Cricetulus griseus: one gene and its partners. The main gene of each other region encodes a partner of the protein of the gene in region 3 in a complex. Links are inferred from orthologs where the notes say so. Each region holds a gene or a part of one and is shown on either strand. Other genes may lie near its edges.

Evidence for each region.
Region 1: Sf3b2 (region 3) and Snrpd2 share a complex: the UniProt entries of both Homo sapiens proteins name them as parts of the minor spliceosome. The link is inferred for Cricetulus griseus from reciprocal best matches to the Homo sapiens genes SF3B2 and SNRPD2.
Region 2: Sf3b2 (region 3) and Snrpd3 share a complex: the UniProt entries of both Homo sapiens proteins name them as parts of the minor spliceosome. The link is inferred for Cricetulus griseus from reciprocal best matches to the Homo sapiens genes SF3B2 and SNRPD3.

What each region holds. Positions count from the first base shown.
Region 1 is NC_048602.1:28,213,711-28,217,454, forward strand, and holds the start of Snrpd2 (small nuclear ribonucleoprotein Sm D2), read right to left. Parts: upstream 2,702-3,744; 5' UTR 2,548-2,701; coding exon 2,546-2,547; intron 439-2,545; coding exon 259-438; intron 1-258. Other genes in the region: Qpctl (glutaminyl-peptide cyclotransferase-like protein), read left to right, coding at 3,271-3,480. UniProt on the Homo sapiens protein: Plays a role in pre-mRNA splicing as a core component of the spliceosomal U1, U2, U4 and U5 small nuclear ribonucleoproteins (snRNPs), the building blocks of the spliceosome.
Region 2 is NW_023276806.1:263,063,601-263,067,344, forward strand, and holds the start of Snrpd3 (small nuclear ribonucleoprotein Sm D3), read right to left. Parts: upstream 2,579-3,744; 5' UTR 2,425-2,578; intron 1,188-2,424; 5' UTR 1,172-1,187; coding exon 1,046-1,171; intron 1-1,045. Other genes in the region: protein GUCD1, read left to right, coding at 3,413-3,455. UniProt on the Homo sapiens protein: Plays a role in pre-mRNA splicing as a core component of the spliceosomal U1, U2, U4 and U5 small nuclear ribonucleoproteins (snRNPs), the building blocks of the spliceosome.
Region 3 is NC_048596.1:54,019,921-54,023,664, forward strand, and holds the start of Sf3b2 (splicing factor 3B subunit 2), read left to right. Parts: upstream 1-1,166; 5' UTR 1,167-1,200; coding exon 1,201-1,333; intron 1,334-1,504; coding exon 1,505-1,551; intron 1,552-1,994; coding exon 1,995-2,072; intron 2,073-3,302; coding exon 3,303-3,542; intron 3,543-3,744. UniProt on the Homo sapiens protein: Component of the 17S U2 SnRNP complex of the spliceosome, a large ribonucleoprotein complex that removes introns from transcribed pre-mRNAs.

The DNA of each region.
Region 1 (3,744 bases), on a different chromosome or scaffold from region 3:
GAGACCAGCCTGGTCTACAAGACCTAGTTCCAGGACAGCCTCCAAAGCCAGAGAAACCCTGTCTTGGAAAACAAAATAAAACAAAAAAACAACAAAAAGAGCACCCCACACTTTCTGATTTTTTATTTTGGAGGCTGGCCTCTAACATGATCATGGTGATCCCTCTGAGTGCTGAGATTACAGGAGTTTGTCACCAACTTACTATCATTATGCTTCTGGAATAACCTTTCCTTCAGGCCCCTCAGACTCAGTGCTCACCTATCAAAGGCCTTCACCCGTCCCAGGAGCTTTTTGTTGTTTCGACAGTTAATGAGCACTTGTGTGTTGTTCTTGACCGACTGTGTGAGCACCGAGAGGGGACCAGTGTTGAATTCCTCCTCTTCCCGCTTCTGCAGCTCTTCTGGGGTCATCTCACTCTTGGGTTTATTGAGGAGACTCCTGAATAGAAAAACCACGGGTGAGATGGGTGAGCTTGGAAGTGTGAGTGATCAAAGGCACTGTCCAGTGTCTCCTCAACCTGGTCCCCAAATGTCCTTTTCAGAGGTGGGAGAGACATTGTCTATTTAGCCCGTTCCAGCTGTCTAACCACCAAAACCTCTCCCACCCACGCATTCCCCACGTCTTCACTGATGGCAACTCTATTCAGCGGGTTCTCTAAGCTAGAACTCTACTGTTTAATTGATTTCTGTTTTGGTGACAGGATCTCCTATAGCCCAGGTTAGCCTTGAACTTGCTATATAACTAAGGACGACCTTCAATTCTCAATTCTCCTGACTCCACCTCCCAAGTTCTGGGATTACAGGAGTTCAACATCAAGCCCGGCACTCTCTTAAAGGAAATCTACCCTCACATCTTGTCATCTGCCTCTACGACATATCCAGAACCTGGCTATTTCTATCCATGGCCTAATCTTCCGTTACCTTTCTCCTGGTGCCCGCCATCCCCACAACAATGTCTTACTGTGTAACCCTGGCTGACCTGAGACTCAGACTATCCATCTCTGCCTCCAGACCTCTGGGATTACAGGCATGCTGCCACTATACCCAGAACCCAAGGTAGCCATGTACTCTGCCCACTGAGCTATAACTCCAGCCCAGTGTTGCATTTTCAGTCTTTTTTTTTTTTTTTTTTTTTTTGTGGTAGCTACTCAAATTTCTTCATCCGCACTCTCCATCATCTAACACGTTCTCTGGTCTTCCTACCCCATTCCTTTTACCAGCCCCAGTGAGAAAAACTTTCTCTCGGTGGCACGGACCTTTTATACACCGTGTGTCTAACTTAACAACCAGTCTGTGTAACACCTGCTTGGTGAATAAACACATCAAACCATGGCAGTAGCTTGCTACTCTGAGAGTCTCCAGGCAGATTGAAAAAGCCCCCCTGTCTGTTTTCTACCTTATCCTGGTTAAGTCCCTCATTATGATTTTTGCTTGTTTGTTTTTTTTGGAGAGCCTTTCACTATTTTTTAATAGAACTCCCTTCCCCTGCCGAGACCTTTATCCATTTACGGCTCCCATTTAAAATTACTATTACTTTTGGAAACGGTCTCCATGTGCAGCCCAAGGCTGGGCGCGAATTCACCATCCTCCTGCCTCACTCAGCCTCTCTTGGGCATGTGCCACCAGGCTCAGCTTTCCTCTTACAGCTCTTTTCACAAGACTCAGTACAGAGCAGGGTCCCACGCCCGTTATGCTGTCGGGGCTGGAGAGATGGCTCAGGGGTTAAGAGCACTGGCTGCTCTTCCAGAGGTCCTGAGTTCAATTCCCAGCAACCACATGGTGGCTCACAACCATCTATAATGAGACCTGGTGCTCTCTTCTGGCACGCAGTGTATACATGGTTAATAAATAAATATAACCACATGGTGATTTACAACCATCTGTAATGGGATCTGGTGCTTTCTTCTGGCACACACTGTATACATGGTAAGTAAATAAATAAGTAAATCTTTTAAAAATAAAAATGAGGGGGGCTGGAGAGGTGGCTTAGGGGTTAAGAGCACTGACTGCTCTTCCAGAGGTCCTGAGTTCAAATGCCAGCAACCACATGGTGGCTCACAACCATCCGTAATGAGATCTGGTGCCAGATCTGGTGCCTTCTTCTGGCACGCACTGTATACATGGTAAGTAAATAAATAAATCTTTAAAAAATAAAAATGAGGGGGGCTGGAGAGATGGCTCAGAGGTTAGAGCACTGACTGCTTTTCCAGGGGTCCTGAGTTCAATTCCCAGCACCCACAGGGTGGCTCACAACCATCTATAATGGGACCTGGTGCCCTCTTCTGGCTCGCACTGTCTACATGATGAATAAATAAATAAACTTTAAAAAAAAAGAAAAAGAAAGAAAGAAAGAAAGAAAAGAAAGAAGAAGCTGTCCGGCTCCGGAACTCCAGACCCGTCCTTCCAGGCCCCACGCCCGTCCCCTAACACCTCAGGAGGAACCTCTGCCCCCGCTACGAGCACCCCAAGCCGACAGTCCACCTGCTAAGCCGCCCGCGTCCCTCCCTCCACCTTCGCGTCCCCGCGGGAGCCCAGCCCGGCCTCACATGGTGGAGGTTTCGATCGCAGCTCACTCCCGCCTCCGCCGCGTTGCCGTGTAGCCTCCGGAGTAGAGCGAGCGGAAGGCGGGACTTCCGCCTCCCTCCTCTGGGATCACTTCCGTCGGCGCCTGCGCAACCCGCCCCAGCGGCGTGGGCGTGTCACGTTGCCATAGCGACCCGGCGGCGGCTCTCTGCCGTAGGAAATGCCTGGAGGGAGGATTCCATGTCAGTGAGGATCACAATAGGGGGACCCCCCCGCTCGCGACTAAACAAAAAGGGGGAGCCGCCGGGCCTGGCTCGAATTAACTCCCCGTCTGGGTGGAAGAAGAACGGGGGCGGGGAGGAGGCGGGGACACGACACACAGCTCCGTTTCCAAGCGCGCGGCGCCCGCCTCCTCCTGGGGGGGCGTGGCCTCGAGCGAGCCAATCGCCTCCTTGCTTCAGGGATGGGCGCCGCCCGTTTCTCCTTGATGGACACCTGAGGGCGGCGGGCGCGGCTTCCGCACGGTCAGCCGCCACTCATTGGCTGCGCCTCTTGCGTGGGGGGCGGGCCCTCGGGTCTGCGCACCGCCTTCTGGAGAAGAAGGAGCCAATCGCGGCCGTCTGCGCGACGATGCCGCCGCCGCTCTGCTTCCCTATTGGCTTGCGTAAGCGATAGGGGGGAGGGGCGGAGCCTGGCCTGGACTCAAACCTCAGTCTGGGACGACCGGCTTCGGGGCCCCGCTGCTGCCATGAGTCCCGGGAGCCGCGGGCGGCCCCGGCAGCGGCTCGGGGATCGCGGCGCGATGCAGCCGCCCTCGCTTTCCAAGCGCCGCCTGCTGCCGCGAGTGCAGCTCCTGCCCCTGCTGCTCTTGGCGCTCGCCCTGGGCTTGGCGCTCTTCATGGTCTGGAACGGCTGGCACCCCGAGGTTCAGGAGCTGTCACGCAGCCGGGATCTGCGGGTGAGGCCTGCCTGGGGCCCCGGTCCCTCCTCCGTTTCCCGTGCCGAGCGGGTGACATCTCTTTCTCCATCACTCAAGCAAGCGCACGCCCCTGCCTCGCCGTCCTGGAGATGCAGGCGGTCAGCCTAGCAACGCGGGCAGATCTGAGCTCCGCGCCCCAAGACATCTGTTTGCAAGGTTCCCGTCAGGGCTCTAATAGTAGCAGGGGCCAGATCTGCCTTGAAGACGCCCTCCCGCTCTAGGGTGTATGCATGTGAACTCCAA
Region 2 (3,744 bases), on a different chromosome or scaffold from region 3:
CTGTTTGAAGCCCACCTCGGTAAGTTTCATTAATTAGAGCAGCATACTAAATATATTAATAGTCACTATCCAAATTCTTTCATTCTACTCCCAAAACTAAATGCCCTAAAACAGACAAATACATCTTTTTTGTTTTGTTTATCGAGACAGGGCTTCTCTGTGAAACAGTTCTGGCTCTCCTGGAACTCAGAAATCCACCTGCCCCTGCCTCCTAGTCTTGGGATTAAACGTGTGCACCACCATGCTCAGCCTTCAGCTTCCTTTCTTATTCCAGAAACAACTGCCTAGAAGTGGCTTAGCCCTTAATAAGCTGGGCACTTACCCATCAATCACTAATCAAGTAAATGCCCCACAGAATTGCCTATAGGATAGGCATTTTCACAACTGAGGTTCCCCTTTCTAAGGTGACTCTCACTTGCACCAAGTTGACAAAAAAACTAAGCAGCACAATTACAGTAGTTTAAATGAAAAGTATCCTCCACAGTTGCAGGCATTTGCACACTTGGCCCCCATGTGTTGGTGGGTTGTTTTGGGGGGGGTGGGATGAGGGGATGCAGCCTTGCTGAAGGAAGAATGTCACTGGAGGCAGGCTTTCAGATTAATACCCTCCAACACTTCCAGGTAGCTCTCATTACTTCAAGCTTTCTATTGAAGATGTAAGCACTCAGCGTCCTGCTATTACCATTTCTCCCCTCCACGATGGACTCATTCCTTTGTAATTGCAAGCCTAAAAAAACCCCTTCTAATGGTGTGTTATCACAGCCACAGGAAATAACTAATGCAAACCCTAAAAGGCAATAGTCAGGCCACCTGACCCACAGGTGTGATTCTAAATAATGTACTTTCCCTCTCCAACCTTTACTTTTCTCATGTGGAATACAGTTAACAGGCACCAGTTATTGCACGCAAAGCACTGAGCTGGCCACTGTGAACACACAGCCATCTGAACTCTCTATGACAACTCCAAGGTATGTGTATTAGACCTGGAGCAGTCAGAGATATTACCTTTCACCCACAGTTCCTTCACAGGTGCAAAGCAAGGTACCTGGCAGTTCATGTTGTCCTCTGCTTCAATGAGCTTCCCTCGATACACCTCGCCAGTGTTGGTCTCACAAGTTACGATGTGGCCCTCAGCCTCGTGCAAGACTTTAATCGGCACACCGATAGACATCTTGGCAGGAGTGTTCCTGTGGAAGAGAGAGACAACAGCTGTCTTTCAGAGCTTAAGAAGGACTGGCATACCATACCCTTTGCAAATATGTCAGAGCTGCATTTTCTTTCTTTCTTTCTTTCTTTTTTTTTTTTTATTCTGAGACAGCGTTTCTCTATGGCTTTGGAGGCTGTCCTGGAACTAGCTCTTGTAGACCAGGATGGCCTCAAACTCACAGAGATCCGCCTGCCTCTGCCTCACGAGTGCTGGGATTAAAGGTGTGAGCCACCACCACCGCCCGGCCTAAGCTGCATTTTCTGTGGAAGGAGTCTGACTCTTGGTTTGAAGGAACCACCATGGCAAGGACACACTGCCTTCGAGCTGGGAAGGATGGCAAGCAAGCTGGACAGAAGAGGCTGGTGGGAATGAAGAGTGCCTCTTATCTATTCCCAAACACATGACCCTTTATAGTCACCCAAGAACTATGATATGGACCTCAAAAGCAATCACTGCTTACCTGTAGCTATTCAACTGAAATATAAATTAAAAAGCCCCTCCCCTCCCAGTCACACTAGTAATATTCCAAGTGCTCAGCAGACATAGACCCTGATAAGATAGCAAGGCGTTCACAAAGTGACAGGAAATGCTCACAGGAGCACCATCAGGGTCGACGCTCGATTTAAGCCTCAGTAAAAGACGGAGGCTAAGCGCAACTGTGATGAGCGTTCCCACCTATGTCCATGAGAAGGCTATAAGGATGCTGGGCGCTGTCTCTCTTGGTGAGGAACCACGGCTTTCAACTTAAGGAGTGTGAGTTTTATGCTGAAAACGGTGGAGGGGGGGGGACACAAAAGGGTCATTGCCAAAGGCTCAGTAGAAAACAAAAAGGAATAATAGCAGCATCTGCAGGATAGCTCGAACATGGCCCTTCTGCAGCACAGCGACTCGCTAAGACTCGTGCAGCAGTCGTGGAAGGCAGGGGAGGGCCAGCGCCGGAATCCGAGGGGAGCAGGGATGCAGAGGACGCTGAAAAGGAGGGCACACAGGGAAAGGGGGTATTTCGTGAGAAACGACTGCGGGCGAGCTCCGAAAATCGGCGAGCCGGAAAGGCACAGAACGCGCAGACAGGCGTAAACGAGGAGCTGCTCCAAGCGCGGGTGAGACGGTGTTTGGATCGGCCCAGGCTTCCCGCCCGCCATTAGTGCCCCGCTGAGCTCCTCCGCAGGCTCCCTTCCTGCCCCTAACCCTCCGGGGACGCCTAGGCCTCCTCTTACCGGTTCTCCGCCTCTCCTCACCGGCTCCCTTTCGGCCCTGGCACAAACGTTACACGGCGAAGGCGTGAAGCGAGGGAATGGCGGGCCCGGGGTACCCAGAATACCACGCGTTCCCAGGATACCGCGCGCAGGGCCCCTCCTCTTCCTTTCCCCAGCGGCGAGAGCGCTCTGACGTATGCTTCCTCCTTAACTCCGCCGGCTCGGAAAACGACGGCTCTGGCATTATCGTTCCGGCCCTGGAGAGGACCCGGGGGGCCGCCGGAAGCATCCGTCCTCGAGCCCCAAAAGGAACATGGAGACCCCCCCCCCACTTACAAAGTACTCCAGGGACGGATTGGGCGGGAGCTAGGCTGGAGCCCCAAAATTGCTGTGGTGCCACAGGAAGTGAGGCTTGGACTAGGAATCTAAGCTTTGGATCTGGTCGCCATCAGGTAAGCGGCGCACCGAGCGTGGGAAACTGGCATTTTTCATCGTGTGGCTAAGACCGAAAGGGAGGCAGAGGAGGATTCCCGGGGCGTTTCGATGAGGCAGGCACTGCGAGGGGCCGGCGCTAACACCCGGGGCTGCAAAGGAGCAAGCCGAGCGGAGGGGGTTTGGGAGGAGCCAACGTCGCTATGGAAGGGCCTGGGGGCGGGGCCCGGGAGGGGCGGGGCTTCCGCAGAAGGCGGGCCCTGCGGGTCGCTCTTTATGGGAGAGAAGTGGGTGGGCGAGGAGGCGTGGCCTAGGGGAGGGGCGGGTCTCCAGGCCGGGGACCTGGCAGGGACGAGGCGGGGCTTGAGGCGGCCTAGCCCCCGCCCACCCGGCTCTGAACCGCGGAGGCGGCGGCGGCGGCGGGCGGCGGTGGCGGCGGCGGCGGGAGGAGGAGGAGGAGGAGGAGGAGAGGCGGCGGCGGAACTCTCCCCACACTGGCCGCGCTCGCTGCCCAGCACAAGTCGCAGCTGCGATCAGCTCCAGGCCGGGGCCATGGGCGCCCTGCGCCACCCGGGTCATGAGGACGGAGGCAGAGGCAGCGGGGCAGCCGCTCGAGCCCGGTCAGTGCCTCTCAGAGGGCCTTGCCCTCACCGGGGAAACCGAGGGGGACTCCGCCCTGGAGCTGGGCAGGGTCTGGCCGCGCGACCTTGGGCCGCAGGCGGCCTCAGCCCAGACTGGAGCTTCCAGTGGACCTTAGCTAGGTGGATGGATATTCCTTCTCGTCTCCCGTCCTCCGCTTCTGGTTGTTTCTCGGGGAGTTCTGAGAGCAGTCAAGTGCAAAAGTCCGAGGGGGCAAAGGCACTGCCTTCCCCAGAAACGAATGGTCCTGCTTGAACCCCGTTGCGTGAT
Region 3 (3,744 bases):
CCCCCCACACAATCATTTATTAGGTGGCTCCTGGATGCTAGATGCTTCATGATAGAAAAAGATCAAGTTCTTGCTCCTGTTTTGGGAATGGAGGTAGGAATAAAGGGTACGAAAGACTTAAAAATGAAACAGGACAGCTGGGCGCGGGTGGCACATGCCTTTGATCCCAGCTCTTGGAAGGCAGAGGCAGGCGGATCTCAAGTGAGTTCAAGGTCAGTCTGGTCTACAGAGCGAGTTCCAGGACAGACAGGACTGTTGCACAGAGAAACCCTGCCTCGAAAAAAAAACAAAAAAAACAAAAAGGGGCAATAGATTGGCTCACATTTGTAATACACTTACTTAAACAACGAAAACCTTGGGACTGGAGAGATGGCGTTAAGAGCACTTGTTGCTTTTGCAGAGGACCTGCAACCGTCTGTAACTCTAGTTCCAGGAGACACTCTTCTGGCCTCCACAGACATCAGGCATGCAAGTGGTGCACATTTCGTTTTGAAAACAAAAGGTGGAAAGTTGGGTGTGGTATGAAAGCTCCTAGAAAGGAGAGGAAACATTTGGCAGAGAAGGCATTTTCTTAAGCCTTTCTCGAATGTGGAAAAGGGATTTTGGTATCGCCCTTCCCCCAAGTCAGCAGCTGGAACTCAGCCCGGCGGGTCCGTTCCTCTACGGGCTCCGATCCCCTTTCAGCCCATTCAAGCACGCCTGGGCCGGGAGCGAGCAGGCAAACAATCGGACACTGTTTTATCAGAGGCATCGGCTCCAACCTCCCACTTGGCGGGCGCCGGAAAGCAGTCTCTATGAGCTCCTGGGTGGAATAAGCATCCAGGTACCTCATCACCGAGAGTGTCGGGTCAGAAGACTTAGTATGCGTTTGGGCAGGTGAGGAGAAGAAGAAAGGAACCAATGGGTGGAGGGCCGGGTCTTCTCAGGGCCCTAGCGGCGGATCTACCACAGGGTACGGGATGTTAAAACAAGCGTCCAGCCTCTAGGCGGTGCAACCGTAGACTACAACTCCCAGAAGGCCGTGCAGCCTTTGTTAGCGGCGAATCCTATCTCCCAGCGAAAGGCAGTGAGTGGGTGTCTGAATCAAGTGCTTTCCAATCACCGCGGGACGTGGCGGAGTGCTCTGCCGGAAGTTCCGGGAAGTAGGCCCGGTGGCTGATCCGAGCTTCCGTGTTGGTCGCGCGCCTTCTTGTGGCTAAGATGGCGGCGGAGCATCCAGAGCCTCCCAAAGGAGAATTGCAGTTGCCGCCGCCGCCACCTCCAGGCCACTATGGCGCCTGGGCTGCTCAGGAGCTTCAGGCCAAACTGGCGGAAATAGGAGCTCCGATCCAGGGTGAGGCTCCCGGGGCGGTCAAAGGGGGCTGCGTGGGCTTGCGGGGCAGTGGGACCTGGTTACCCAGGAGACTCACGGGCGGGGGGCGGAGACAGGCCTCTGGGGCCCGACCTGGCCAAGCCGGGCTGTTCCGGCTGGTGCTGACCCCGGATTCTGTGCTTGGTTCCGCAGGGAGTCGCGAGGAGCTGGTTGAGCGGCTGCAGACCTACACCCGCCAGGTGAGTTGTGGCAGGAGTTGAAGATTACTTTTCCTAGAGGCCTTTAAGATAGGCCACGGATCGGTCTTCGTTTCTTTTACATTTTTTTAAAAAGCTTTTAGGCGGGGTTTTACTGTGTACACCTGGTTGTCCTAGAACTCTCTCTCAGTAAACCAGGGTGGCCTGGAACTCAAGAGATCAGGCTGCTTCTGCCTGCCGAGTGCTCTGGGATTAAAGGTGTGCGCCTCCACGCCCGGCTGGGTCTTCGTTTCTTACGTACTTCATCGCGGCAAGTCGGGTCTTGACCGTTTTGTCAGTTTTTGCCTTTGCTTTATTGTAAAGGTTACAGCCCCAATCTCTGGCAAACGGGCATCGGGTGCACTTTGTTAAATAAATGGTGGAGGAGGCCGTGCAATGGAATAGTTCCCTCTTAGTCTGACACACAGTTCTCTTTTCTTTTGTAGACGGGCATTGTGCTGAATCGACCTGTTTTAAGGGGAGAAGATGGGGACAAAGCTGCTCCTCCTCCTATGTCAGCACAGGTAAGAGACTGTTTATCGGTCATTCTGTTCAGGATAACCTTTCTCCCATGCATTGCACTGGAGATAAGAATATAGTGAATTAAGGGTGGGGTCTGATGAGACAGAATTGGGGCCTTTTCACTTCTGGCTTTGTGCCGGTATTCATCAGTCCGCAATGTCTGCTCTTCTAAATTTGACCTGTCATTCAAGAGTCAACTTGAATACCTAGAATTCATACTTGGTTCTCTCCCAGTTGGATGTAGTCATGTGTTTTGTTATCAGGCATAGCTCCCAAAGTTATTCATTGACACTTTAAGGGGTAATGCTGTGATTTTTTTATTATATACCTCCTGCATTTAGTAATTCATTGACAGTCTGTGCCCTGGCACATTGGTTTCTATTTCTTTAAAAAAACATATTTAAAGTTTAGTGGTGGTGAACACCTTTAATCCCAGCACTTGGGAGGCAGAGGCAGGTGAATCTCTGAGTTTGAGGCCACCTTGGTCTACTGAGTGAGTTCCAGGACAGCCAGAACACAGAGAAATTGTATCTCAAAAATAGTATCTGTGTGTGTGTGTATATGTGTGTGTGTATATATGTGTGTATGTGAATATATACACATATTTATGCATATGAGTGTTTTGCCTGCGTGCATGTCTGTACACCATGTGCATGCAGCATTACAGGAGGCCATAAAGGGGCTTGGATCACCCTGGGGCTGGAGTTACAGAGGATTGTGAGCTGTTATCTGGATGCTGGGAATTGAACCCTGTGATTCAAGAGCAGTTCTTAACTGCTGGTCCAGTCTCTCCAGTACTGGTTCCTATTTGTTTAAGTTCCTTTGGAATCCAGTATTTGAGTGTCTTCCTCTAAACTAGTGGCTTTGGCCTGGGTGGGTGGGGTGTGTGTGTGTGTGTGTGTGTGTGTGTGTGTGTGTGTGTGTGTGTGTGTGTGTGTGTGTGTGTGTGTGTGTGTTTGTGTTTTGTTAAGTGCCTGTATAGACTTTAGAGGTGTTCTTGTATTTTCTTAAATTGAATGCAATTTCAGAGGACCCAATAGCTTTGTTTGATCAGTGTTCTAAAGTTAGCCTTTTCTTCTCTTGATTCTGCTATGGTGCATTTTCTTGAGTTCTGCATCACTAGACTTTGAATGCCTGGCTCTTTTGCTAGTTCCCTTTAGAACTTTAGCTAGAAAATGCTTCTAAAGTGAATAAATGCTTTCTAGTTCATAGCTATATATTTTTTTCCACAGCTGTCTGGGATTCCTATGCCGCCACCACCTATGGGACTCCCCCCTCTACAACCTCCTCCTCCACCTCCACCACCTCCACCAGGCCTTGGCCTTGGCTTTCCTATGGCTCACCCACCAAATTTGGGTCCCCCACCTCCTCTCCGAGTCGGTGAGCCTGTGGCATTATCAGAAGAGGAACGGCTGAAGCTGGCACAACAGCAGGCAGCTTTGCTGATGCAGCAAGAGGAACGTGCCAAACAGGTAGGACAGGTGGAAACCTTACCTAGGTCACCTTAGGTCCCTGATGGGGAAATGGAACCCCAGAAAGCTAGACCCGGAGGCTGTGCCTTTTAGGAAGGTCTTGGTTGAAGACCAAGACCTAGGTAACAGCTGGCAGAGAATCCTAGAAGCAAGAATTTTGGCAGATTGGCCTGGTTGTATTGTTGCTGGCATGAGTTTTTTT